Linked DNA regions of Macaca mulatta. The protein of the gene in region 1 purifies or fractionates together with the protein of each later gene. This does not show direct contact. Links are inferred from orthologs where the notes say so. Each region holds a gene or a part of one and is shown in the gene's direction. Other genes may lie near its edges.

Region 1 (3,980 bases):
TAAAGAGGGATCTAGTTTATGCAGAAGTAACCCATGTGCATTGTCAGGAGACAGCTTTTCTCATGGGAGAGGGATGCAGAGGTAGGGAAAATGTGTGAAGCCTTTAAATGCCAGGCTAAGGAGTGTGGGAGTCGTTAGTGGTTCTTGATCAGAGTGGTGGCATAATATTAACAGCATTTTATTATTCATCTGGTTGTGGACTACTGAATCGATTGGGGAGGTGGAAGTGGAGCTTCGGAGACCAGTTTGATGGCTGTTGCTGGAGTCTGGAGTATGAGGACCTTTATTTAGTATATTGAGGTAAAGAGACCTGGGAAGGTGTTCTTTTGTTAGCAGACAGCGTTGAGGGGACATGCAAACTCCTTATATTTAAAAAGGCCTTATGAGTATGTATTGGGTTTCTTTCAAAAGCAGCTACTGCAGAGGCCTGAGAGGCCAAAAGGGCGCCTTTGGAATTAGAGCAGAGTTAGACTCCTGGCTTTGTCATTTTCTAATTATGTAGCCCAGAGGAAGTCACCTAACCTCTCTTGAGTCTTGATTTCGATTCCTATAAGTTAGGGGTGACAAGCCCTACTTGTTTGAGCATCTGTGTAGCGCTTTAAGGCATCTAGCAATGGCGCTGCGTGTTGGTTCCCGCCTTCCCCGTGGTGTCCTGCAGGCGGGGACTGAGTAGCTAAGGACGGCGGCCAGGAAAGTCGTTCTACCTGGAGACCCCGGGCTGGCACTTCTGTCCAGACCTGGACAGGCCTCCGAATGCCAGACCTTGGACCAGGCTTCGCACGGGATGACTGAGCATCCCAAGCCAGTCGGTGGGACAGATATTTTCCTCCTCAGAGGGGCTCTGGAGCGCGCGGCAGTCCCTGGCAGCCGTGGGTACCGAGAAGGCGACAGGGCAACAGTGCGGAGAGGCGGCGCCGGCTCCCGAGGCCGAGGCGTCCACCTCCGCACCGCCCGCCGGCTAACTCGCCGCGGGTGCTGGGCCGCGCTGGCCGCGTTTGAAGTCTCCGGCGCGGCTGCTGGTTGGCGGGCGCGGGTCACGTGCGCCCAGGCAGGAGTTTCCCCGACAGCTGGAGGCTGCGTGGGATCCGGCGGCGGCTCCGGAGCGCGGCGGTGCGGCCTTCCCCGCCCCCTTCCTCCCTCCTCCCCCGCCCGCTTCCGCCCGGCTTATTATCCTCCTTATTGACAAACAGAGCGGCCGCGGCGGCGACTCTCAGCGTGCGTTGATAGCCAAGCCATGGGAGACAAGAAGAGCCCCACCAGGTAACAGCGCCCGGGCCCCGGGGCCCGGACTGTGCGGGCGGCAGGGCCCTGGTGCAGGGCTTCGGGTGGCTGCCTCGCTCGCCGCCCGGGCACCGGGGCGAGCACGGGGGCGGCGCCGCTGGTGTGCGAGTGCTGCCGCGTGAGGGGGCCGGCGCCGGCCGCCCCACAATGGAGCCGCGATGGCGGCGGCTACCGGAGCGGCAGCCCGGGTGTCAGAGCGGCTGTGGCGGCGGCGAGTGCGGCCGGGCTCGCGCCCTGCCTCTTCCTGACTTCCTTCCCCCTTGGAGCCGGAGCGCGGCGCGCCGAGGGCCCGCCGGGGGCCCGCCGGGCGGGGGTCGCGGAATTGGGGCGGGGGGCGGGGCGGGGGCGGCCGCGGGGCCCGGGCGCCGGGCGCGGCCTGCTGGTGACCCCGCGCCGCGTCGTGTCCGGGTTGTGTCCTGCAGGCCGAAGCGGCAGCCGAAGCCGTCCTCGGATGAGGGTTACTGGGACTGTAGCGTCTGCACCTTCCGGAACAGCGCCGAGGCCTTCAAGTGCATGATGTGCGATGTGCGGAAGGGCACCTCCACCCGGTGAGTCCCAGGCCTGCCCCGCGCGCCGCCGGCTGGCGGGGTGACGACCAGGGGACGCCCCTGCGGCTGCCGCCCCCTCCCATGACATTCGCGGACCCGGCGGGAGGAGGCGAGACGGAGGTGGCTGTGGCGATAGGAACTGGGTCACATTGATCGCAACCCAGGCGATGGTTTGCGGTGAGGGGTAATTGAAGAGGCTGTAAGGTTTTTTGCTGCCAAGAGAGAATAAATTATTTATGGGAGGCATTAGCTACTGCGATTTAATTCGTATCGCCGTGTGTAATGTCCCTCTCCCCACTCTGGGTATAAAAATGTTGGCTGCATTGTTGTGTTAGTGTGTAGGGATCAAGGAAAACCCATAAAATCCTCTTTAGGAGCAAAGGATGTAATTTAATTTCGTTCCTAAAAAAAGAAAACTATCTGATTGCAGAATACACAATATATTAAACTTCTTTTCTATATGGACTTCTGGAAGGGTCAGATCAAGGTTTTATTTAGTGTTTTTATTCCAGTTCTCTAATATTTTATAAATAAGTAGTTGGAGATGAGCCCAGTCACAGGAACAGATTTTTACTGAAAGTACCTGCATATCTTTAGTTTGATTAAATGGCAGTCTCTTAGACAAATGAGATGAAAAGATCTCTGCCCATTTTCAGACTTTATTTATTGTAAGCTTGCAGTATAATAACTCTGTTTTTTAAAAAACGACTTTGAATTAAGTGGATAAAGAAAATCATCCAGGAAATTCAGTCTGGCATTCTTAATCTGTCAGCACTTAGTTATCGAGCTCCTTGATTTTTATAGGAAGGTACCCTTTGAATTAAATATAATCCTGTGATTTATTACTTAATATGTAGAGAAGATATATATTTTGATGTTACAAAGTTCATTAGGGACTAAACTATAACAATAAGCATACTAATCTATCTTACTGTTGCTTTAAAAAAGGCATATATGATATTGACATATGCAAATATTCAGTAGACCTTAGATTTCTAAAAAATGTGATCTTGATTTTTTTTTAAAACACTACAGAATTTTATTAAGTTTGAAATGTAGAGACAGGAATGCTTGACAGTAACTTATTTGAAAATTTTCTCAGTGAAGCTCGCTGGCTTTGACATGCTTATTTTTTGTAAATATTATATGCTTTTTGTATATTCCCACAATGGATAAAATATTTTGTACATTTTTCATATTCAAAAAGCAAATTTTCAAACATATTCTAAATTTAAGGGATTACAGCAGAACATTCCAAAAAGAAAAAAGTATATACTAAAATGATTGTGGTTACTAATTTTGGACCCATTTATTCTCATTTACAGTGGATAAAATATTTTGAACATTTTTTATGCTCAGAAAGCCAACTTTTAGACATGCTAAATTTAAGGGATTACAACAGAACATTCCAAAAAGAAAAAAAGTGTTTGCTAAAATGATTGTGGTTACTATTTTTGGACCCGTGTTTTGTGATTTAAGTATTTTGAAAAGCAGAGTATCTTAATTGCTGTGTAAGGTTGGAGTTGGTTTAGAGTGTATTTGTATATCCGTGTTAGTACTTTGTGCTTTTTAAAATGCTTAGTAAACAATATTTAGAAAATTTGTTTTTTGGAGGCAGGAACATTAAAGTGGAGACAATTATTATAATCTTGATCTCTGGTACTATATATTATTGCTTTTTGTTGTTCCCTCTCTATTTTCTTGTAGCCATTAGAAAAATACTGAAACTAGAAGAGCCTATATGTTTATTTGCAGGGACAGCAAGGAAGGGGGGAAGCTGGTGTCCTACTCCACAGCCAGTCTTGGGGTTAGAGGAACCCTGAGAAATAGAGTAGGTGGTGGCAGCTCAGAAGAGAAGAAACAGGCTGAATACCTGGCACCTGGAAGAAGAAGGAATATAGTACACAGGGGAGTTGGCCCAGGACAGAGAAGTGGGCCTAGTTTAAAAGAGGCTTGAGGCCCACCTGGGGGCCCCTGACTTTTTTTTTGTTTTTAACCGGTACATCCGAGCTCTTGTAGATCCAATTTTTAGTGGTGGAAACATTACTTGAGGAGGACTCAGAGAAGCATTGTCATTTGGATTGAAACTGAAGAGGCTCTGGGCAACTCACCAGAAATCTAAGGGACACTGTGTTCCTGAAAGTAAGTGTT
Region 2 (4,090 bases), on another chromosome or scaffold:
TCTTGAGGAGAGGTTCCCAAAGCAAAATAAAATGGCCAGCGCCATGTCCACGTTGCTGGCAATAGCTTTTGACGGTGGTGAGCACAAGCAAGAGGGGTCCTAGAACACCAGGCCTCAGGCAACAGCAAAGCCACTGCAGCCTTAGATAGCTTGCTCCAATGCTCACCCACATCCCTCACACCAGGTGAGGGAGACATACCAGGCAAGGCTCAACTGCCATCTCTAAAGTACTTCCAAAGGAGAGAAGACACATCCAAGCTAAGAGATGGAACCTCTGGGCCTAGCAGGATCGAGGTGGGGTGGGGAGGAGGAGGAGGAAGACATTAATCTGGCAGGGCTTCCTTCTAGTCCAAATGACCCTCTGACTTCCTCAGCATGGATAAATATATAACAAATAATATCAATATATCTGCACATAAAGACTTTTTTCGAATTCCTGCTATTCATTTCAAATTCCGTTTACAAAGCACTGAATCCTCCAGGAACTGCTGGGCACCTCCCCTAATACCCTCTAGGCTGAGGCGATGCCTTTGAAGTCCCTATCACGGGCTCAGGGCTGGAGCTGCTAAGAAACACCCTAAGACTGAAAGCAAATCGGCCGGCAGCTTCAGCTTCTTCGCAAGCTGCTAGCTGCTCTCCTCGGAGTCAATGTAAAGTCATCAGAGTTCGAATGTGGACCGCAAGCTTCTCAGCCCTTCAGTCCCAGGGATGATCTGGGATGTAAACACACACGAGGGTTTATTCCTTTGGCCAGGCAGAGAGTCGTTAGGGTAAAGGGTAAGGGTCAAGGGGGCTCGGATTGGTGACTGAGGAGCCCAAGGAAAGCCGGCAGAAGCGAGTCCTCTTAGAGCTGGGCTTTTGGCTCCGAATCGTGCAGGCTTCCCACTTTACACAGACCTTTCATCCCCTTCCTCCTTCTTCCTCCCTCGGGTCTCTCGCCACCCGCCCCCCACCTCGCCTCCATCCCCAGATGCCTCCACGCCCAGGTGGTGTTGCCCACTGAGGGTGGCCCAGGGGGTTTGCAGCCGGGGAGGTTGCCACCACGGGTGGGCCGCCCCGGAGACGAGAGGCGAGGCGGCGAGCCCCGGCATTTTCCTTTCCCCAGCACCTGTCCCACTTCGGCGCCGGGGCTGGGGCTGCGCCCGCGGGCGGCCTCGGAGCCTGAGCGCCAGAACCACGCACTGAGGTCGCCCAGGGTGGGGAAGTAGGGGGCCGGGGGAGGGGCGGGGCATCCGGCGGGGACGTCTTCCCCACCGCATGCAAGACCCTTTGCGCCCCCCCAACATACACTGAGGCTAAAACAGGGGGAAGAGAGTCACACAGAGCACGAGCGAAATCGCTCGCTCTCCGACCCGAACAGCGCGTTGCTCGACCCCCCCCCCTTCCTGGAGCCGGGGGCTGGCCGAGGAAGGTGGCTCCGTTCTTCCCCCGTGGCCAGTGCGGGGTCTGCGGCTGCCCGGCGAGGTTCCGGCTTCCCCGGGCTGGCAGGGGGAGCCCCGAGAACTGCAGGCCCGCCCCCCCTTCCTCCTCCTCCTTCCCCTCCTCCCCCACGTGTCCTCCCGGAGCCCAGCGGCCTGATCCCAGCACCCCCCGCCACCTCCCTCCTCCCGCTTCGCCCGCTTCCCCGGCGGCGTGGAGAAGAGCAAAGTTGCGACAGCGGCTGGGGGCTCTGCCCAGGTAAAGGGGGCGCCGTGAGGCGGGGGTGGTGGGCGAACGGTGCGGCCCTGCGGCGGGGGCGGGGGGAGGATAAAGAAACTTGCTTCCCGCGGCCCCCACCCCGCGTGGGTTCCGATCTTGCGTGGAACGAGCCCTCGTGGCGAGTCGCGGCAACACCGCCGGGACCGAGGCCGGCACCTGGACCCGGACCCGGACCGCGCGCTTGGGTCGGCTCGGCGGGCGCAGGCAGCGGGCCAGGCCAGCACCCAGGCAAGGGCGGGGTGGGTGGCCGTACACCGGACCGAATCGGGGACTCCAGTGGCGTGGGCGCAGGCCGAACCCGGACCGGGCCGAGTTGGGTGGCGAAGTAGGACGTGGATTCGGGGGCGGGGCGCGGCGGGAGGGGGAAACCAGGCCTGGCCGGACTGGCCTGGGCGTGGGGGCGGGGGGCGAGTTCGGGGCACTTGCTGGGCTCTGGACCGAGCGGTAGGGCGGGGCGGCGCTAGGGGCTGGGCCGGACCCGCAGGGAGAGGGCGAGGGGAGGGAGAGCCGGGGGTGGAGTAGGGGCGTGGAGTTGTGGAGCGGGGTCTGGCCTCGGCCGGGGGCGAAGGTAGATCGGCGGGGCCGCGAGCGGAGGGAGGGAGGCCCGCGGCAGCGCGGCGGCAGCGAAGGCCAGCTTCCGCGGAGTTTGTGCCCGGGCTTCCCGGGCTCCGGCCGCCTCACGCGCACAAATGGGGCTAGGGGACTGAGTGGTAAGCAACTCCGAGTGTTAGACGGTGATCGAGCGGCGATTCCGGGAAAAGCGAGGAAAGACACCGTCTGCGATTATGCCGCACCCCCCACCCACCTCTTAGCATCTGGATTCTGCTCTCATAGTGGGGGCCGCGGACCCTCCCCGCCACAGTCTTTTTACTCTCCAGCACTCCCACCTCCTTTCCCCTTCTTCAGCCATCTGACTCTCCTAGGGGTATGTGTTTTTGGGGGTGGACGGCGACGGGGGTGGGGGATACTTTCCTTCCCGCGGCGACAACCTAGTTCGTATCTTATTCCTACAAGGTAGCGTCGCTTCGAGTCGCGTGGACATTGGGGTTTAGATAATTTACCCCCCACCCAAGCGATTTAATGGCTGTTAAGCAAAAGGCGAATACCTGGATTTCCATGGCAGGGATGAGGTTTGAAGATTGGGATTCAACCCCAGCTCACTTCCACTACCAACCCCTCTTTCTTGTGAGCCACTTCCACGGGTATCCAAACCTGGGGGGGAGGGGGGACGGGAGTATTAATATGCTTCTCTATTTCTACACAGGGTCGGCGTGAGGAAGGACGGCTAGCCTTGGAGGGAAAGTAGCCACCAGTCCAACTCGGGTCACCCCCACCATTATTTCGGTGAGGGGGCAACGCTAAGAAGGGGATACTGGTGGGTAGGGGCCCAGTATAAAGGAGGGGGCTGGGTAGTTGTCCCCAGAGGGACTCCGTGTCTTGGCGGGGAGACAGAGAGGCGAGCCCCGGCTTCAGGGGAGGGGTTCCGGGGAGGGAGATGGGGGGGTGGCGACGACGGTAGAGGGGGGCGGGAAGAAGGGGGAGTCACGCCCTGCCTGCAAGGGGAGCCTCCCTCAGGCCCCTGGGAGAAGGGGACTGAATGCGTCTGTTCTCTGCTGCCCAGCAGAGGAGATCTGGGGTCTCGAGATTTGCACACTGGATGGGCACCAGTGGCCTGAGAAAGTCAGGTCGGGGCATAAGGTGGAGAGCGTTGGAAGAAAGAGAGGGAACCCCTCGGCCGCGGCCCACTGACCCTCTCCCTTCCTCAACCTCCCCCTTCGAGGGGCGTCGAGGCGGGGGGGGCGACGTGGGGCTCCTGCAGCCCCGCAGATTGAGCGCCTCCGCCTCTCTCGGGAGTCTAGCTTTTTGCCCGGCTTGCTGCAGCCACTGCTGCCTCCCTCTCCGGAATCCGCTCGGTCCTCTCAGCGATCCCCTCCTCCTCTCCTCCCCTCCCAGTGTCACCGGGGCTGCTTGGCTCTGCCCCCTTCGCCGCCGCTTGCTCCCTGCTTTCGTCCCTCCCTCTCTTGCTCGCTCCCTCCCTTCGCCTCCTCCTCCCCATTCCCCCCCACCCGCGTAGGCGGCATTCTGGGAGTTGTAGTCCGGTGGCGCGGGGGTTGGCGCCGCCCGCGGACCCAGCCGGACTCCACTTCCCGTCGAGCCCTGCGACCGGCACCCACTCCACCAGGCTTCGCTCGCACACAGACACACACACACACCGCTCTCCCCCTCACTCTTTCGCTCGCCGCGGCTGCTGCCAGTGTGTGGCTCTGTCTCTCCTCCGCTTTGCTGAGCCCTCCCTTCTTCCTCTCAGTTCCTAGAGTCCGACCGCCGCCGCTGCCGAGAGAGAGGAGAAGGAGGTCGGTGGCGATAAGGGGCGGAGGGCGGCATCAGATCG
Region 3 (2,540 bases), on another chromosome or scaffold:
CGGTACTGTTTGGTGTGTTTTACACCTGGTATTGAGCACCATTTTGTGAACTCTAGTAATTTCTAAGAGGAAGAATAAAAAAGATGTCAGAGGGAAAGGAAGATGTTAAATAATCACGGTCTTAGGTCTTGGTGTTGATAAATATTTGTCAGTTTCTTGTGGTACTCAGAGATGATAACAGTCCTGCATTACGAGCCTCATTCACTTTGAGCACTACTCTGTTTTGGGGCAAAGGGTAAAGTTGAAAGAGAATTCTCACTTGGGTGATTAGGTGATAAAGGTAAAAGGGTCTCTTTAGTAATATTAGGTAAAAGGTAAGGGTCTATTAAGGTAAAAGTGTCTCTTTAGTAATATGAAGATCCTCATTACTTTATTGCTATTGCCAGCCAAAATTCCTTGTCTCTACCTCTTGCCAGACTCACTCTGGAGGACTCATCTTTTCCTGGTTCCCATGCTGCCTCTAGGGCTTCATTTTCTGTGCTAAGTAGCAGTTAATTGGGTGAACAGAATCAAGATGTATTTCTGCCTTAGGACAAGAATTAACTTGGGGGAGCATTTCTATAAAATAGTTAAATGGAACTTTAAAAAATGGTGGAAAGAGCCATTTGGTTGGATTTTAGTTGAGTTTTTTCTTATTGGGTTAGGTCAGTAATTTGAAGAGCTGATACTTCTTTCATCTTGATAAAAGTAGAGTGCTGAATTTAGACTACAACTCCCTAAGATGGTCATATGGTATGACAGAGAGAGAGAGATGCTAACTCTGTAGATCTAAATGAATTTTTCTTTTTTTAATTTTTGTTTTTCAGAAAACGACGACTTATTTATGATGCCACGAATTGTTAATGTGACATCATTGGCCACAGAGGGAGGTTTGGTAGATATGGGTGGCAGCAAATATCCTCATGAAGTTCCTGATGGCAAGCCATCTGACCATCTGAAAGACACCGTCAGGAATGAAGATAATTCCTTAGAGGATAAGAGTAGAATCTCTTCCAGAGGAAACAGAGATGGCAGAGTGATGTTGGGTCCAACGCAGGTTTTTCTGGCAAACAAAGATTCTGTTTATCCACAAATAGTTGACGTTTCCAGTATGCAGAAAGCACAAGAGTTCTTACCTAAAAAGATTTCTGGTGATATGAGAGGGATTCAGTATAAATGGAAAGAGAGTGAATCAAGAGGGGAGAGAGTGAAGTCAAAGGAGTCTTCATTTCATAAATTAAAGATGAAAGATCTCAAGGACTCAAGCATAGAGATGGAACTGAGGAAAGTAACATCAGCTATAGAGGAAGCAGCTCTTGATTCCAGTGAACTGCTAACTAACATGGAAGATGAGGATGATACTGATGAGACACTGACTTCACTGCTCAATGAAATTGCCTTCCTTAATCAACAACTAAATGATGACTCTGTTAGCCTGGCTGAACTACCCAGCTCTATGGATACAGAGTTCCCAGGGGATGCTCGGCGGGCTTTTATCAGTAAGGTTACTTCTGGAAACAGAGCAGCTTTCCAGGTTGAGCACTTGGGAACTGGTTTGAAAGAGTTGCCTGATGTTCAAGGGGAGAGTGACTCTATCAGTCCCCTCCTCTTGCACTTGGAAGATGATGACTTTTCTGAGAATGAAAAACAACTTGCAGAACCAGCCTCTGAACCAGATGTCCTTAAGATTGTTATTGACTCTGAAATAAAGGATTCCCTCCTTTCCAACAAAAAAGCTATTGATGGAGGGAAGAATACTTCTGGCCTCCTTGCAGAGCCTGAAAGTGTGTCCTCACCCCCCACCCTACACATGAAGACTGGCCTGGAGAACAGCAACAGCACAGATACTTTGTGGAGGCCTATGCCAAAGTTGGCCCCTCTAGGTTTAAAAGTAGCTAATCCTTCCAGTGATGCAGATGGTCAGAGTCTCAAGGTGATGCCTTGTTTGGCACCTATAGCTGCCAAAGTTGGGTCAGTTGGACACAAAATGAACTTAACAGGGAATGACCCGGAAGGCCGGGAAAGCAAGGTGATGCCTACATTGGCACCTGTTGTGGCTAAATTGGGCAACTCGGGGGCCTCACCAAGTTCTGCAGGGAAATGAACTTACTTGTCCTTAAGCAGAAGCCAGGCTGTGAGGGGAAACTGATCTCACCTCCTTTCTCTGCAGGCATCTGTTTGTTTGTGTCTTGGAACTTGGATCCTTGACTTGGATGATGCAGTGGATAATGATGGGAGAAAGGGGGTAGGGTGCTGACCCTGGTATTAAGAAGTACTCTGAAATTCTGATCATGTTAAAATGTGTTACCTCACTTGTGGTGCTGGGTCCCCTCATCCTCTCTAAGAAGATGTGATCCATTACTGAACACGAGGTGCCCCTCTTACCCAAGGAATTTATAACAGGACTCTGGCTCCACAGTGGTTTCTAGTTCTTCCCCCACAAGCGAAAGAGCTGTTTGCAACTTTGGAGTTGCTGTGGACTGAACTGTAGCTTGTAGCTGTTGAATTAAGTCTGAAATCTAAGGAATGTGATGGACTTGTGCAAAGGGATCTAGAAGAGA
Region 4 (4,179 bases), on another chromosome or scaffold:
TACTCTTAGCTACGTGGGAGTCTTAACTGGGAGACCACTTGAGACCAGGAGTTTGATGCTACAGTGAATTATGACCATGCCACTGCCCTCCAGCCTGGGTAATGGGGAAAAAAAAAGATTAGAGACCTCTGACATCATAGTCTAGTGGGGAGCCAGCTTCTTCAGGGATTTCTCCCTACCTCACCTCGCCCACCTCAGGCTGTGTAGAAACCCCCAGTCTAACCGGTTGTTTCCCTCCAACTCTGTACACACCACGGTGTGTTACCTTTTTATTTCAAACATGTGCTGGCCTCTGTTCTAATCACAGCAACCTGTATCCATTAATCCATTTAATCCTCACAACAACCTTATCAGGTAAGTATTGTCATTATTCGCATTTTCCAAATAAGGAAACTGAGGCACAGGCAGATTAAGTAACTGGCTTAATAAGGTCTTCTGGTTTATAAGTAGGAGCCAGGATTTGAAAACACACCTCTGGCTCCAGCTTAATTAACATGCTCTGTTTACTTATCTGTCCCCACTGAAATTGGAGGTTGAACCTGTGGCATATCCAAATGAGTAAGTATCGCCTGTGCTCACCCCAATATCTGACACTATAGGTCCACGATAACTCATTCATCAAACAGGAAGGAGGGAGGAAGGAAGGAAGGAAGGAAGGCAGGAAGGAAGGAAGGCAGGAAGGAAGGAAAGAAGGCAGGCAGGCAGAAGTAAAACGATACCACAATGGTTTGGTTGCTCACATTTACTAAGCATCAACACTGACCCGCCTGTAAGATGTGCTAACAGAGCTCAGGAATAAATGAAGGCCGGGCGTGGTAGCTCATGCCTATAATCCCAGCACTTGGGAGGCCAAGGTGGGAGGATGGCTTGAGCCCCAGAGTTCAAGACCAGTCGGTGCAATATACTGAGACTCTGCCTCTACTAAAATTAAAATTAAAAATTAGCCGGGCGCAGTGGCGCGCGCCTGTAGTCCCAGCTACTTGGGAGGCTGAGGTGGGAGGATCGCTTGAGCCTAAGAATTCGAGGCTGCAGTGAGCCCTGACCACGCCACTGCACTCCAGCCTGGGCGACAAAAAAAAAAAAAATTAAAATTAAAAAAAGGAATAAATGAACATCTTTGCGGCTGAGAGCTTTCAGTTATCACCGTCGAGAATTCCAGGCGAGCGCTGCGTTTTCCCAGCTGCCTGTTTTCTCTCACCCCCGTTCCCTTCCTCTGGAATCCGGCTCCACCTCTTCCTTTTCCTTTGCCAGCCTCTCCGTGGATTCCGCGGTCCGGGTTTCCCGGGCGCCAGCCGCCGGGAGAGGATCAGTGCGTGGGAGCGCTCCGGCCGCGGCGGGCATGCGCAGAGGGGGGCGGTACACTGCGCATGCGGAAAAATGGCGGGCCGGGCTACTTGAGAGCCGCGGGTTTACCTCCTCCTTTCCCGTCTTCGTCGGGAGTTCCCGGGCACGTGAGGCAGTGCCGCGTTTGCTGGCGGGTGGGACGGCCTAGCCGGGCGGGGCCTTGGAGGACGCCGCGGATCCGTCAGTTTCTGGGCCCTTGGAAATCGGCGCGTGGGGGGCGGTGATCGAGCTGCGCGCGAGAGGGCGGGAGAGCTCGCGGGGTGCGAGGGGAGCGGGACGCCCGGCCGGGCAGCATGAGTCAGCAGCGGCCGGCGAGGAAGTTGCCCAGTCTCCTCCTGGACCCCGCGGAGGAGACGGTTCGCCGTCGGTGCCGAGACCCCATCAACGTGGAGGGACTGCTGGTAAGCTCCGGGACGGGAGGGGGACGGGCGGGGGTCTCCCAAAGCTGGCCCCCTCCTCCCCGCGCCGCCGCCAACCCCGCTGGCCGTCGTCTCGGTCGTCTGCTCCCCCTGGGCCAGGCGCTGCCCATCACGTGCTGCGAAACTGCGCTCTCCCGCCTTCTGCTTTCAGCATCTGTTCACAGACGTGGTGTCAGTCTTCTGGACTTTTACATCGGAACTTCAGGGCACTGTTGGAGAAAATTGCTCAACTTTGCATTGGAAAGGCCATGTTTTTCTCCTTCAGTGGACTCTAGCTGTATCTCTGCAACCTATCATTTGTTCTTCTACCTTCTCTCTCTTCTGCTCTACTGCAGCCGTTTAAAACCTTGTCCACGCTTTATATTTACCACGCCACAGCTCCCATTCATAAAATTATCTCCCCACCTGTTTGACGGAGAAAATGGTTAGGAGATTTGGCTCCCTTTCCCACAAAGACTGATTTCTTCTACTCTTGTTCTGGACCAGATACTGTATTCCCCGGTTCTCAAGGTCCTTAACAAATGCGTTCTTTTCCATTCCTCCCGTATTTTCTTTTTCTTTTTTTGAGATGGAGTTTTTACTCTTGTTCCCCAGGCTGGAGTGCAATGGCACGATCTCAGCTCACTGCAACCGCCGCCTCCCAGGTTCAAGCGATTCTTCTGCTTCAGCCTCCCATGTAGCTGGGATCACAGTCATGCGCCACCACACCCAGCTAATTTTGTATTTATAGTAGAGACGGGATTTCACCGTGTTGGCCAAGCTGGTCTCGAACTCCTGACGACCTCAGGTGATCCACCCGCCTCGGCCTCCCAAAGTGATGGGATTACAAGGCGTGAGCCACCGAGCCCGGCCTCTCCCCATATTTTCAATTTCTCTGCTGCTTTCTTCCTATAACTAGTAGTAATTAAACATTTTCCCAAGTCATTATGCCTGGTCCCCATACCAAATAGTTTGTGATTATTGTCTCATTTAATTTCTCACAGCAGTGTTTTATAATAGTAAAAGACTATTATTCTTGTTTTACGGTTGCCAAAACAGACCTGGAGATGCATGTAATGCCGGCTTGCCTGTGGCTAGATAGTAAGTGGAGAAACTTGGGTTGAACCTCCAAATGTCTAACTCCAGATGATAAATTCTTGACTACTAAAACCACATTCTCAATCCATCCCCATCTTAAAAGATCCCTCCCTTAATTCCATATCCCTTGCCATCTACTGTCTCTCTTCCCCTTCACAGCTAAACTTCTTGAAAAAGTTATTTACACTCACTCTTTCCACTTGATCGTCTCATTATCAGCCAACCCACTGCTGGGGACCCCTATCCTCAGCACACTTGTGAGACCATTCTAACCAGGGTCACCGACAATCTCGTCAATTCCAGCAGCTGTTGTAGTTTTGACACAAAACTACTTGTGTTGGAAACTCTCCCTTGAGTTTCCTTGACATTGATGTTCCATCTGCTTCTCTGGGCTCTCCTTGTCCTCATCCTCTTCCCAGTCCTTCATTTTTTTTTCCCCCGAGACAGGATCTCACTCTGTCACCCTGGCTGGAGTGCAGTGGCACATCCTGGCTCACTGCAGCCTTGACCTCCCAGGCTCAAGTGATTCTTCTGCCTCCACCTCTCTAGTAGCTGGGACCACAGGCACATGCCACAAGGCCTGGCTAATTTTTTTATTTTTAGATATGGAAGTCTTCCTGCGTGGCCCAGGCTGGTCTTGAACTCCTGGGCTCAAGCTGTCCTCTCACCTCAGTTTCCCAAAGTGCTGGGATTACAGGTGTGAGCCACCGTGGCTGGCCACATGTTGATGATATTCAGGGTTCTCTTCTGCTGTCTCTACACATTCTTCTTAGGGGAGTTCATTCTCTCCTCCCATGACTTATGTTACCGTCTACATTTGATCCTTGAACGACTCAGGGTTTGGGGCACCAAATCACATGAAATTCAAAATCTGAATATAACTTTGATTCCCCCAAAACTTTACTGTTTCCTGGAAGCCTTACTGATACTGTAAACAGTTGATTAACACATATTTTGTATTTACATGTATTAGTTAGTGTATTCTTATAATAAAGTAGCTAAAGAAAACGTTATTAAGAAAATCATAAATAAGAGAAAGTCCTACTCATTCAGGGGAATTAGATGATCGTAAAGGTCTTCATCCTTGTCTTCACACTGAGTAGGCTGATGAAGAGGAGTAAGAGGAGGAGTTGGTTTTGCTCTCTAAGTTGTGGCAGGGGGTAAAGAAAATTGGCATCTAAGTGGACCCACACAGTTCAAACCTGTGTTGTTTGAGGATCAGCTGTATATTGGTACCATCTGTATTGGTCGTCTTAATATTTGAGAATTTGATAAAAACTCTAAGCTCACTGTGGAAAAACCACTTAGTTTGCATGCAATATCAGCAGATACATCGCTT
Region 5 (3,998 bases), on another chromosome or scaffold:
TCCACCTGCCTCAGCCTCAGACTCAGGTGATCCCGACCTCAGGTGATCCACTCCCCTCAGCCTCCCAAAGTACTGGGATTACAGGCGTGAGCCACCGCGCCAGGTGGGATTATCTCGTTTTTACTAGAAGGCTCTATCTCCTGGGGGTGGGATGGGGTGGTGAGATCAATTCACCTGGAAGTGGAAGCTGGGAACCTGGTTTGAGTTCTGATAGTTCTGGGGTCCAGCCCCTTATCTTGCTTCGCCTGGAGGGCTGAAGGACTGGAAATACTTTTGTTTTGGGGCTGGAACGCGGGCTGCAGTTTGGGAGGCGGCGGTAGTTTGGAAAAGGAGGCGGGGTCTGGTAAGCACTTTACCCGAATTGGGCAGTGGGAATTTGGGAATTGAGGACAATGGGAAGCTGGTTCTGAGTTTTAAACTGGGGAGTGACAGATCAGAGCTGGATTTTTAGGAGTTTCTCTGTCTGCAGGTTTAAAAAAGACCCGGGTGGGAGGTAGGGCTGGGGTGAGGAGGGAGAGAAGTGGACGATCTGAGAGCTGAGGCGGGGTGGAAGGGAGAGCAGCCTGTCAGGGGCTCGGGATTCCGGCCCAGGCGGCCAGAGATAGAGATGAGCTTCTTTCTCCGAACTGGGTTTGCTAACCTGTGACTGTCACTACTCCATGCTCCAGGGCACCTGGCCCAAGGGATCAAGCCTTTTGGGCACACAGATCCACCTGGAGCCCTGAAGGACCAGACAGGGACCTCGCCTTCTCTGTGTCCTTCCTGGGAAGGGGACTCCAGACCAACTGCCAGTCTTCCGGTTCCACCTCTCTGACAACCGCTCACCTCACCCTCCTTGGCATCTTTATTTCAAACGCTCTGTCCTTTTGTTTGCACGGGTTCCTGTGTCACATTCTGTGTTCCCATTTTTAATTGGAGAATAAGGGACTGCGTTATTCTACCCACAGGCCTAGCTGAGGGGATAGGGAGGCCGTGCCTACCTCCAAGGCTCTACGAAGTGAAGCAGGCGAGAATGTGCAGTCGTCGAGGCCAGAGGACCGGGCCTCAGCTTCTCCTTAAGACCCTGAGTCCTCCTCTGGGGACCACCCCGTTGTACCTGGAGGAGAAAATGCCCGCCCAGGAGGGAAGGGTTGGCCCCCAGAGAGCCCGCTGCGAAGTGAGTTTGCGCACTGCGGAGTGACTCCAGCGCGGCTCTGCCAGTCCGCGGGGCTGGCGGGGAGCAGGTTCGTGCACCGCGGGCTCTGCATGCAGAGGCGGGAAGCGCCCGCAGCCCGGCAGCCGGCCCAGCGGGAAGGCGCAGCCCGGGCTTCCGAACCCTGTGAACGAACGCGCAGGTTCCTGGTCTTCCAAATGGGCAGGAGTCGTCCTACCTGCCTGGGGTGGGAGGCCACATGGGGGCACTGCGCCCGGGAGCGGTCCCGGGTGTTTTCCAAATGCCCACTGCTGCTCTCATCCGTACCAGCGATGATCAAGAAGGGGCCTGGTCGCCCGGGGAGGTGCCCCGGTCCGACTTGACTCCGGGGACAACGCCGGGCGACGCCATCTGCGCAGGTCCCGGAAGGCCGCTTGTGTCTTTGTGCAGGGCGTGCTGTCTGTGGAAACGCGAGGGCACACTAGCACTTTCCTGTATGTATCATTATACTTCAATTTTTAGGAAGTACATTAGGAGGGCCTGCACCAGCCAAATTCGGGGATTAAAGCTTTTAAGCGGGAAGCACGCGCCCCGTGCTGTCCCTTTAAAGCGTTGGGCCGGCCCGAGGCATTCTGGCCGCTGCCGCTGCCCGTAGCGCTCCTCCGAGAGGCCGGCTTTGTGAGCTCGCCCCGCCCCCAGGACACCGCCCCCCTCCCCTCGCGCACGCGCACTGCGCCCCCGCCGCCTGGCGCCCGCCCGAGCTGCCGCCTCGTCGAGCTGAGTCCGCGCTCCCGCCCAGGCGGCGGCCGACGCGACGCCCCGAGCGCCCGGCCCCGCCGCCGCGGCCCGGCAGGTAAGCGGGTAGCCGCCCGGCCCGGGGAGCGCAAGGCGGGCAGCGGGGCGGCGCCAGGAGCCGCCAAACCACCCCCGGCCGCCGCACGTGTTCCCCGCCGGGCCTCGGGCCAGGCCCAGCCCCGGGCGCTGCTCCAGCTGCAGCGGCCCCGCCCGGGACCCCCGCCCTGGCCTCTCGGTGGACGGCTGCGCGCGTAGGCCCCTCCACCCCGTCCGCCCCCACTCGCGCCCCCACCTCCGCTTCCCCGGCGGGCCACTGACAAGGCCAGAGCGCCGGCACTGGGGCCTCTTTCCCGCAGGCGGCGTACCGGCCTCACATCGCCCCTCTTCCTCCTCTGCCCCTTCAAGGAAGGACCCCAGACCCACCAAGCCACTCAGTCCCTGGACGTGGTGCGCTTCCCCTCCTCGTAGAAACGCCCCCAGCCCGCTCCCGCCGCTCACCCCAACCCGAGGTAGCCAGGCTGCAGTTCGCTAGGTGGGGTCCTGGGGTGCGGGTCCTCGGTCCTAAACGGGGGGCCCACCGTGCCTCCTCGCGCGGGGCCGCAGACCTGTCCTGGCCGATCTGCGAGAGCCATTTTGAGCGGTTACGTTCCGGGACCAAACTGAGGTCGGCCTGTTATTTATCGCTAACGACACTCCCTGCTGTCTCGCTTGCAAGTTTCCACTCACCCAGGTCCGTTTACCCATCTCTTCAAATGCTAGTTTAATCTGTGACCTGGGCAGGTGCTGTGCTAGCCGGTGGGGAAGACAGGTAAGCGAAGGACCCAGGCGGAAGCCTGTCCAGGATCTCAGAGAGGTAGAGCCGGGTTCCCACCTGTGTTGGGCTGGCCACCTGGCTGGTGTTGAAGATGCAGATTAATTCTTGTCTTTGCACACAGTGTGCTCTCCTGACTGCACGCCGCAGGCAGGTTCCTGGGCTGGATCTCAGGGACTGAGGGACTCAGGCATCAGCCTGTGGCATGCAGTCCAGGAGGCCATACTGAGATTTGGTTGCTGGGCTTCAGGTGGTCAGGCTTACCTGGATGAAAAGCAGTGGCTGCTAGGTGGAGTCAGGCAGCAGCTGGTCTAGAGGTCACCTCCTCATCACCGTGCCTGTAACCTCGGTCCCCCCCCTTTCCTCAGTATCAAGTCTCCAACCTTCCTGTTCCCTCAAAATGATTGTTCCACAGAGACACCTGGTTGGTCATGAAAATGCCAAGCCTTGGCCCAGCGCGGTGGCTCACGCCTGTAGTCCTAGCACTTTGGGAGGCTGAGGCGGGCGGATTTTCTGAGGTCAGGAGTTCGAGATCAGCCTGGGCAACATGGCGAAACCCTGTCTCTACTAAAAATACAAAAAAGTAGCAGGGTGTAGTGGTACGCACCTGTAATTCCAGCTACACAGGAGGCTGAGGCACAATAATTACTTGAACCCGGAAGGTGGAGGTTGTAGTGAGCCGATATCGTTCCGCTGGACTCTTTGGACTCTGTCTTAAAAAAAAAAAAAAAAAATGCCAAGCCTAGATGCCACTACTGAGGTAGAAACTTGGCAGGTGTGTTGGGTCAAGAAATTGCATCTCTCCCCCTACCACCACCACCACGGAATTTTTCACTCTTTGGCCCAGGCTGGAGTGCAGTGGTGCAATCTTGGTTCACTGCTATCTCTGCCTTCCAATTTCAAGCGATTCTTCTGCCTCAGCCTTCCCAAGTAGCTGGGATTACAGGGACCCGCCACCACACCGGCTAATTTTTGTATTTTTAGTTGGGACGGGGTTTCTCCATGTTGGCCAGGCTGGTCTTTATCTCCTGGCCTCAGGATCTGCCCGCCTCCTGCCTTGGCCTCCCAAAGTGCTGAGATTACAGGCGTCAGTCACCACACCCTGCCACTGTATTCTTAAAAGTCAGGTTAAGGTTGTTTTGTTTGTTTCTTTTAAATGTTAATGGTTTTTGAGCCCAAAGGGTTGGGCAGGTTGGGCTTGAGCTGGGAGGGGCTGGGCACCTTTTTTGTAAGACCGCCTACCTGTTGTTCCTCATGTGA
Region 6 (4,068 bases), on another chromosome or scaffold:
TTGCCTGAGGAGCAGGAGTGGCCAAAATCAGCATAAAATGTGCAAAGCGGGCTGTCATGTAATAATACCCTGCATAGGCAGAGAGGCCTTTGGTCAGCTCCTCAAGTCCTCCTAGACTTACGCTCGGTGCGCACCGGCCTCTGCCGCCAGCTGTGGCCCTGAACTTTGGACTCTTCTCTGGCCTAGCCCGCCCTTGGCTGGGGTGCTCGGGCCTGGCCCTAGCGGCGGGGCCGTCCAGGGTGGACTGAGTCTCCAGGACTCGGGGACCACCAGGCTCACCATGCAATGAAACTGTTTCTGGAGTTTTCCTGTCCCTGCTTTCCCTCCCGAGTCCCGGGCCAGGCTGCGTCCAGTGGGCACAGAGGACACCCAGAATTGTTGGTAATCTGGGGGTAGGCCAGGCATGGGCTTGGAGGTCACCGGGTCCAGCAGAGGCAGCGGCCTCTGTGCCACGCACGCACACACACCTCTCTTCCGTGTGTCCACATACACACGTCTGTGCACACACCTGCTCTCCATACATGCACAGCCCCACACACAGTCGGCCCTTTATGTGCACAGACACTCGTGCACACAAGCGGCCCCCTCCCTCCGTGCATACAGGCGCGCACACAGCTGGCTGTCTCTCCTTTGTGAGAGAGAGCTCAAGCACACACCCGGCCCCGCTATTCGCACACACACTCCTGGACACACTAGTCCGTGCTCCCCCCTACACACATGCACACAGCCGGCACTCTCTGCTCCCTGCACACACATCCTGACACACCCGGCCCCCCACCTGCTGCCCCATGTGCACACACACTAGTGCACACACCAGTCCCCGCCCCCTCACATGCACACACACTAGTGCGCACACTACTCGCTCCCCTACGTGCACACACCAGTCGCCGCTCCCCCACGTGCACACACACTCGTGCACATAGCCGACCCCGCTCCCCCATGTGCACACACACTCTTGCACACAGCCGGCCACCTCTCTCTCCAGACACACCGTCACAGACGCGCACAAACGCGGCCCCTTGGCCTCCGAGCGCACGCCGCGCGCGCTCACTGCCCGTCCCGGCGCAGGCCCCGGTTCCATCTCCGCACGCGCACGCGCACACGCGGACACGCGCGCACGGCCCCTCCCCGCCCTCCCAGGGCGCGCAGCACTGGCGGGAGGAGCGGGAGACCGAGGAGCTGCAGAAGAGGAGGAGGAGGGCGCCGAAGGCGCGAAAAGGCGCGCAGGCGCGCTGCGGGGCCCGCCGCCGCCCACGTCACCGCGCCGCGCGCACGTCACGCCGGCCCGACGCTCGGCCAGGGTGAGCCCCGCGTCCCGGCGCCGCTCGGCCCAGGGCAGGGACCCCGCCACGGCCGGGACCGCCCGGCCCGGCCCCCGCCCGCGCCTCCCTGCGCCGCCCCGCGCCCCGCACCGCGCCCTTTCCGCGTCCCCGCCCGCGCGGCCGGACCGGGCAGCCAGGTGCGGGCGGGCAGGGGATGCCGCGGGAGCCGCGGGCGGGGGCCGGGGGTGCGGGCGGGACCCCCGGCCACCCCATCCTGTGCCCCGGCCGCGTGTAGGCGCCGCGCGGCCCCGACCCGCGGTCTCCCGCGCCCTCCCGCGCCCCGCGCGCTCCTGTGCCTCGGGGACCCCGCGCGCTCGGCGCTGGTGGGGGCTCCCCAGGTGACCGCGGGGCGGGGGTCCCGGGCCTGGCCCTCCTGGCCGATAGCAGCGCCCGCGCCCCGCGCCGGAGGTGGGGCCAGGGCCAGGGTCGGCCGGAGCGCGCAGGGCGGGGGAGGGGATGCCGCCCCACGGCGGCCCGCGGGGACCCGGTTCCGGCGCGCGCGGGAGGCGCCTCGTGCGGAGGCGGCCCGAGGCCTAGTGACAGGCGCGCGGCGCGGACCCCGGAAGCCCACCTGTCAGAGTTACCGGTCAGCCAGGCGGGCGCCGCCGGGGTCTGGGGTGGACGCCGCGAGCCTGCACGTTGCGCCGGGACCCTGGGGCTGCGCCCAGGTGGGTGGTGGGGCCCCCCCTGCAGCGGCGGGAGGGAGGCGCTGCGCCCTGGCTGCCGGGGCTCAGCCCCACCCTCGGCCGCTGGGCGGGCCGTCGGGGACCTGGGGGTCGTGGTGGTGACCCTGCGGGCCCGCCGGCCACTTTTGCGCAGGGGACATTTCCGTCTGACGAGGCGACTTAAAATCCTCAGTGTGGGAGTCGGTTTGGCCAGCTCCGCTCTCAGGATGGAGGGTGCCTTTGGGAAGGAAGGTCCACGTTTCCTTTGAGATGTGTTATTTTTTCAACTTCTTTTTTCATTCTTACTTATTTATTGTTTTTCCTTCCTTTTTTTTTTTTTTACCAGAAAAATCATTTTTCTTCTCTGGGAAGGTGAACATTTGTAGCATTTATTTCCCGGATCTGGTAACATGGCAAAAGATGTAAGTATGTTTGCTTCATGCTGCACACGAATGTTTGCCTCGCACTAAATTCTTTGTAGTTTTCTGCCTTTATTTCAGAATGACAACGCATAAGCTACAGTAGTGTTTATTTTCAGACTTTTAAAGCATCTGAAGCGGGATGAAGGTGAAAGATGGAAGGATCTGATCTCTGAAACTGCGCTCACCACCCCCAAGTTGTGGCCTTGGATACCACACTGTGCAGTTGGGTGGTGATGGGGTGGTGCCTTCTGACTTTCTCCTTATCTTTACCGACTGTGTTAATTGCTAATTTTGAATAAACTCCTTATTAAATTGAGGTGGAGGGTGTTGCAGCACCGCAGCGAATCCTCCATTTCTTGGGGGCTTCCACATAAGATCCTGGACGGGGGCCAGGCTTAGGTCTCAGACTGTAGCCACCTGCTGGCACCTGTCTTTCTATAGAGGAAGTTAATTCCACTTGGGTGGACCAAGAGCTAAGCAATTGTTTTGGCCACTTTTTTTTCTCAGAAGGATGAGATTTGGTGGTTTATGAAATCTGGTAAGAAATGCTACTTAGCCTGCTTAGTATTTGTCATGAAACTATAGAATATTTTGAATAATTTTTTAAACTTGTGTGGGGATCGAGGCTTTTAAGGCCAGAAATGTACTCTATTTTATTGGCGTGTGGTTCTTTACTATGCTTGGTAATGCTGGTCACTGAAGCAAGCTGGATTCCTTAGTGTTTCCCATCACGCATTGCTCTGTAACTGTGAGTGAAAGGGGTTGTTGATACAGCTGTAGCGAAAATGCATCCGGAGTGTGGAACCCTCTCCATCGACGCAGAGGTTTCAGTGGTCCCTGTGAGTCCTTGTGGGGCGTCTGCCCTCCCTGACCTGTGACCACCTACGTCACACGGTGTCCCTGGCTTCAAGCACTGGGATGTGCTTTAGAGAGGGCATATGAGCACACAGGTGGACCCAATGTGGGTTTTTGAAGTCATATCTGGGTGTGCTGCGAGGCTACTTTTACCCTATCCACTGTGCTTGTCCGTACCATGCCCTGACCTCATGCGTGCATGCACTCAGAATGCCAGATGTGGCCATGTGCTCAGCGCGCAGCCGTGTTCATTACGTCTCCTCACAGTGAGGAGCTGGGCCCAGGGCCTCGGTTAGAGCACGCTTCTGGTGTTGTGTGGTTTCCTGTGTGGTTTCCTCAAATGGTTCTTAAACACGCTTTGATACATAATGGGTGGTGTCACCGGGGCCCTCATTCATTCCCCCTTGATTTCATTGGCACTGTATGTGAACAGCATGTAGTGTGAGGCTGGGGGTCGGGGGCATACAGAAAGGTGATCCGACTCTGCGGGACTCCAAATGCTCTATCCAGTTTTGGCATTTGAGACGCGGCATTTGTCAGGGGTTGCATAGGCACAGGGCCTGGGGGCTTACCTTGCGCTCAGGGGTTATGATCTGAGTTGGGGGCTGGCGCTGGGAGGAGAATAGGATTCTACAGCTGGTGAGGCCTTCCCTGCTCAAAGTCTGGGAGTGGTCAGGAGTGCTGGGTCTGGCTGGAAAGGGAGATTGTGGACAAGTCAAGGAATTTGATGTTTTCTCTAGCTCTTTTTCTTTTGAGACAGAGTCTTGCGCTGTCTCCCAAGCTGGAGTGCAGTGGCGCGATCTT
Region 7 (4,096 bases), on another chromosome or scaffold:
TCCGTGATCCCATTTCGGAGTTTCCTCTTCCCAAACAAAAATAGACGGGTCACTCCCTAGAAGATCTCGGGGAGAGGCTCCTATACGTGTTGCCGTGTAGCTTCCGTACCGCAAAATGGCGCTATTCTGATCAGCAGAGTTGACACAATCAAATAGCCACACGGCACGGAGACGCATGCGTGGCGACAACAACAACAAAAACCACCACCCACATTACTTGATGGCTCAGGCGTGCGCAAAGCTCCCGGTTCAGTTTCCCGCGCTGGAACTTTTCCAATAGTAAACGAGCAAAGCTCCGCGCGCCCAGGTGGCGCGAGCGCTAGGATCTGTCGGTTGGGGTCCTACTTTTACATAACGCCCCCACAATGCCCTTCGCCTTCCTCTACGTGGCCCCCGCTCCAAGCCCATTTTCTGGAGCTAGGAATCCACTCTCTGGGTTAGGAAAGGCCCTCAGGAGGCGGAGGGAAACCTGTGGAATGCCGAGAAGCCGTGTAATGAAATAACGTCACGCCTGCCCCTCACCATTACTCTGACCAGGGTTCGAAGGTCACACTTAGAGACTAAGGGGAAATGGAGAAGTGCAAGGGGACGAGCAGAATGGCTGGCACCACCTCAGGTTAGCGCACTGGGCCGTTCTGGTTCTCACACAGCCCAGCCCAGCCCAGCCCTCCCAACCCAAGTCCCTACGCACGGAGCCAAGCCGCACCTCTCGCCTCATGAGGCCGGAGCCCGGAGTAAAACAGAAGGCCCGTCAAGGGTCTCTGGCGGGACTGACTCGCACTAGGGGCCCAACAGGCAATAAGGACCCAGCGCATTGGCCAAGGATAGGCCAGTCCCCAGGGAAGCAGCACCGCGCCGGGACTAGAGGGCAACTGTGAGGAGAGCTGCGAGGAGGGGTCCAGCCTGGCTCCCTCCTTTCCCCGCCCTAAGTCAGCTTCTTCGCCCAGTGAGCACACAACTGTATTGCCCAGGCTCCCAGGCCCCGAACGCCATACCTGGTTTCCGCTTCCGGTGGCTTCTCGTTGCGCCCCGCCCGCAAGCGTCCTCCTCCGGGGATTCGTGACAGCCAGGTCGTGCGCGGGTCATCCTGGGATTGGTAGTTCGCTTTCCCTCACTTAGCCGGTTTCTCTCTCTACCGGGGACTCCGCGTCCCGGCATCCACCGCGGCACCTGACCCTTGGCGCTTGCGTGTTGCCCTCTTCCCCACCCTCCCCAATTTCCACTCCCCCCACCCCACTTCGCCTGCCGCGGTCGGGTCCGCGGCCTGCGCTGTAGCGGTCGCCGCCGTTCCTTCGAAGTAGCAACTTCCCTACCCCACCCCAGTCCTGGTCCCCGTCCAGCTGGTGAGTCTGAGGTCTTCGCTGCTCCTAGTCGCTTGTCGCTGGGAGCCGCACATGGGTCTCCGCACTTTGATATGGGGGCGGGGGGAGGAAGCAACCAGGTCCGGCAAGGAGGGAGAGGTGGCTTGAGGAGCGGAGGGGGGATGTGTGGAATCCGGTGAAAGGGACCTGACAGTCGCCCCCAACCCTTGAGAAAAGGAGGGGCCCGATTCTTGCTTGAGAGTGATAAACTTTGAAATCCTTGGGAAAGGCGCCGGGGTCGTGCAGAGACTTGCATTGGTACGGAGCCTGAGTCGAGGTCCCTGCCGGAGTTGACACAGAGAAGAGAGGGCCCTGGCTTTCGGGAGCTCCAGGGACGTGGGTCGGGCTGGTGGGTCAAAGTATCTGTTGGCTTCTTTCAAGTGGTGGGACCCCAAAGAATGTTTAACGTCAAAGAAAAGGGAACTGAGATGTAAATTGGAGGAGTTGGAGAGGAGTGCTTCAGAGTTTGGGATCCTTTAAGAAAGGGTGGTTCTAATGTGGGAGGAGGGAGGATACCCGAGGCAGGGAAGGAGAACTTGAGCTTTACTGACACTCTTTTTTTCAGCTGACGTGAAGATGAGCAGCTCAGAGGAGGTGTCCTGGATTTCCTGGTTCTGTGGGCTCCGTGGCAATGAATTCTTCTGTGAAGTGAGTTCTCTTCGACCTCCCTACTTGCTGGCTTCACATATCTTCCCACCAGATGTTCCTTCACGTATTCCACTTCTACACTGTTCTCTTACATACTACTTGAAAACTTCCCATCAACGAAGAGTCCCCTCAATAACCCCCGACGAACCTGTGCTAAAGTGGCAAAACTGGGGCCCAAGTTTTGACTCTGCCACCCTCCAGCAGGCAATTTGTGTCTTTTTCTTTATCTTTTTTTTGAGACTGGGTCTCACTGTGTCGCCCAGGCTGGAGTGTAGTGGTGCGATCTCGGCTCACTGCGACCTCTGCCTCCCAGGTTCAAGCGATTCTCCTGCTCCAGCCACCCAAGTAGCTGGGATTACAAGTACCCGCCACCACACCCGGCTAATTTTTGGATTTTTAGTAGAGACAGGGTTTCACCATGTTGGCCAGGCTGGTCTCAAACTCCAGACCTCAGGTGATCTGCCCGCCTCAGCCTCCCAAAGTGCTGGGATTACAGGCATAAGCCATTGCGCCCAGCCTGTATCTTTTATTACTAAAGTTGTACTGCTAGTACATGTCTCAGCTGGCTGTTAGGAAAATTGAAATGCTACGTATTGAAATGTTTTGTTCAGAAACCATGCCGTTCAGCTTCCATCCTCCTCAGCCAGCTGAGAGGACAAAACTGGTTCCTAGAGATGGAGTACAGGAGTAGGGACAGAGATCTTGAAAAGAATGTCTAAGAAAAAGATTGCTGTACCTGCTTATCCTTAGAAAAGAAAAGCCAAAGCTTTATGGGAGGGAGTATAGGTGAACTAGGGAGAGACGCAAGTACTTCTGCTGAGTTGGGAGTGAGAAACAAGCGGAACAGATGCAGTTGTGTTGATGATAAGGCATCAGTTAGAGCATTTTGCCCAGGTCAAAGATGGGGATTTTGATATGGGTTCCCTCTTGGCTTCCATGTCCCCACAGGTGGATGAAGACTACATTCAGGACAAATTTAATCTTACTGGACTCAATGAGCAGGTTCCTCACTATCGACAAGCTCTAGACATGATCTTGGACCTGGAGCCTGGTGAGGCACCCTCAGGGTTGTTTTGTGTGTGTGCATGCACTTTTTTTCTCTTCAAATCTATATTCACTTACTTGAATTTTGAAATTTCCTTTGGTTCTCTGATTTCTTTAACCCCAAATTCATGCTTTATTTTGATCCTCCACCTGACTGTGTCTAGTTTTGTGACGTATATCACTTGTTCCCATGTTTTCTAAATCCACAATTCAGATGTTTTCCAAAATATGTTTCCTCATGGGTCTGGTTTGCTATTTCTCCTGCTTTGCACCTTCCAGTCTAGAGTTTCATCTTTTGCATTGACATTGTTGCAGTTATGTATTGGGGAGGGAGCTGGGAGGGAGAGTGGGGAGCGGAGGCTAAAGAGGTGTGAAGAGAAGACAGAGCTGTCTTGGGTTGGCGCAAGGGTCAGAAGCCCAGGTTTCTGGGTCACATGCCCAGATGTTGGATGGGGTAAGGCCCAAAAGTAGGTGCCAGGCGAACTGAATAGTCCGCACCCCCTGGATATGGGCAGGGCACCTAGGAAAGCTGAAAAACAAGTGGTTGCATTTGGCCGGGCTGTGTTTCAGATGAAGAACTGGAAGACAACCCCAACCAGAGTGACCTGATTGAGCAGGCTGCCGAGATGCTTTATGGATTGATCCACGCCCGCTACATCCTTACCAACCGTGGCATTGCCCAGATGGTGAGGCCTCTCTGCTCCTAATTGCCTCCTTCTGAGCAGTAAGGGACACAGGTTCCTGCAGCAAGAAGTCATGTTTAAGCCTTGTTTAAGGAAACTGGCTGAGAAGAGGAGAAGAACCCCAGGCTTGGGCCTGGGAATTGAATTCTGATTGGGGGTCATCCTGAAGGGATAATTTTCAGGGAGGGAGACAGTCCTTGAACAGAGAGTTGTGATAGACTGCCTCTTCCTCAGGGAACAAACAACAAATGGCTCTGATGGTTTGTAGCCTGCCTAACTGGAAGAAAGGCAACATAGGAGTTTGAGAGCCCATCTGGGCCAGAGAAGGGGCCTCTGGACAGAGGTGGGAGGAGTGGGGGA

The links.
Region 2: the proteins of YAF2 (region 1) and BCORL1 purify together in Homo sapiens (affinity purification with mass spectrometry; 5 studies listed by BioGRID and IntAct, counting the BioPlex papers as one, with this or other methods). This does not show direct contact. The link is inferred for Macaca mulatta from reciprocal best matches to the Homo sapiens genes YAF2 and BCORL1.
Region 3: the proteins of YAF2 (region 1) and MGA purify together in Homo sapiens (affinity purification with mass spectrometry; 5 studies listed by BioGRID and IntAct, counting the BioPlex papers as one, with this or other methods). This does not show direct contact. The link is inferred for Macaca mulatta from reciprocal best matches to the Homo sapiens genes YAF2 and MGA.
Region 4: the proteins of YAF2 (region 1) and E2F6 purify together in Homo sapiens (affinity purification with mass spectrometry; 4 studies listed by BioGRID and IntAct, counting the BioPlex papers as one, with this or other methods). This does not show direct contact. The link is inferred for Macaca mulatta from reciprocal best matches to the Homo sapiens genes YAF2 and E2F6.
Region 5: the proteins of YAF2 (region 1) and WDR5 purify together in Homo sapiens (affinity purification with mass spectrometry; 4 studies listed by BioGRID and IntAct, counting the BioPlex papers as one, with this or other methods). This does not show direct contact. The link is inferred for Macaca mulatta from reciprocal best matches to the Homo sapiens genes YAF2 and WDR5.
Region 6: the proteins of YAF2 (region 1) and TFDP1 purify together in Homo sapiens (affinity purification with mass spectrometry; 3 studies listed by BioGRID and IntAct, counting the BioPlex papers as one, with this or other methods). This does not show direct contact. The link is inferred for Macaca mulatta from reciprocal best matches to the Homo sapiens genes YAF2 and TFDP1.
Region 7: the proteins of YAF2 (region 1) and CSNK2B purify together in Homo sapiens (affinity purification with mass spectrometry; 5 studies listed by BioGRID and IntAct, counting the BioPlex papers as one, with this or other methods). This does not show direct contact. The link is inferred for Macaca mulatta from reciprocal best matches to the Homo sapiens genes YAF2 and CSNK2B.

What each region holds. Positions count from the first base shown.
Region 1 is NC_133416.1:49,172,033-49,176,012, reverse strand, and holds the start of YAF2 (YY1-associated factor 2), read left to right. Parts: upstream 1-1,180; 5' UTR 1,181-1,234; coding exon 1,235-1,260; intron 1,261-1,413; exon of another isoform or gene 1,414-1,439; coding exon of another isoform or gene 1,440-1,492; intron 1,493-1,703; coding exon 1,704-1,829; intron 1,830-3,584; exon of another isoform or gene 3,585-3,971; intron 3,972-3,980. UniProt on the Homo sapiens protein: Binds to MYC and inhibits MYC-mediated transactivation. Also binds to MYCN and enhances MYCN-dependent transcriptional activation. Increases calpain 2-mediated proteolysis of YY1 in vitro.
Region 2 is NC_133426.1:136,431,939-136,436,028, forward strand, and holds the start of BCORL1 (BCL-6 corepressor-like protein 1), read left to right. Parts: upstream 1-1,290; 5' UTR 1,291-1,677; intron 1,678-2,219; exon of another isoform or gene 2,220-2,623; intron 2,624-2,962; 5' UTR 2,963-3,073; intron 3,074-3,924; exon of another isoform or gene 3,925-4,052; intron 4,053-4,090. UniProt on the Homo sapiens protein: Transcriptional corepressor. May specifically inhibit gene expression when recruited to promoter regions by sequence-specific DNA-binding proteins such as BCL6.
Region 3 is NC_133412.1:19,154,313-19,156,852, forward strand, and holds part of MGA (MAX gene-associated protein), read left to right. Parts: intron 1-806; coding exon 807-2,083; 3' UTR 2,084-2,540. UniProt on the Homo sapiens protein: Functions as a dual-specificity transcription factor, regulating the expression of both MAX-network and T-box family target genes. Functions as a repressor or an activator.
Region 4 is NC_133418.1:113,370,518-113,374,696, forward strand, and holds the start of E2F6 (transcription factor E2F6), read left to right. Parts: upstream 1-1,379; 5' UTR 1,380-1,637; coding exon 1,638-1,745; intron 1,746-4,179. UniProt on the Homo sapiens protein: Inhibitor of E2F-dependent transcription. Binds DNA cooperatively with DP proteins through the E2 recognition site, 5'-TTTC[CG]CGC-3'. Has a preference for the 5'-TTTCCCGC-3' E2F recognition site.
Region 5 is NC_133420.1:8,377,343-8,381,340, reverse strand, and holds the start of WDR5 (WD repeat-containing protein 5), read left to right. Parts: upstream 1-1,198; 5' UTR 1,199-1,245; coding exon 1,246-1,334; exon of another isoform or gene 1,335-1,462; coding exon 1,463-1,626; intron 1,627-1,866; exon of another isoform or gene 1,867-1,985; intron 1,986-2,040; exon of another isoform or gene 2,041-2,735; intron 2,736-3,998.
Region 6 is NC_133422.1:107,803,496-107,807,563, forward strand, and holds the start of TFDP1 (transcription factor Dp-1), read left to right. Parts: upstream 1-1,268; 5' UTR 1,269-1,301; exon of another isoform or gene 1,302-1,459; intron 1,460-1,735; exon of another isoform or gene 1,736-1,990; intron 1,991-2,333; 5' UTR 2,334-2,397; coding exon 2,398-2,409; intron 2,410-4,068. UniProt on the Homo sapiens protein: Can stimulate E2F-dependent transcription.
Region 7 is NC_133409.1:150,652,918-150,657,013, reverse strand, and holds the start of CSNK2B (casein kinase II subunit beta), read left to right. Parts: upstream 1-1,296; 5' UTR 1,297-1,343; intron 1,344-1,926; 5' UTR 1,927-1,937; coding exon 1,938-2,009; intron 2,010-2,957; coding exon 2,958-3,060; intron 3,061-3,623; coding exon 3,624-3,739; intron 3,740-4,096. UniProt on the Homo sapiens protein: Regulatory subunit of casein kinase II/CK2.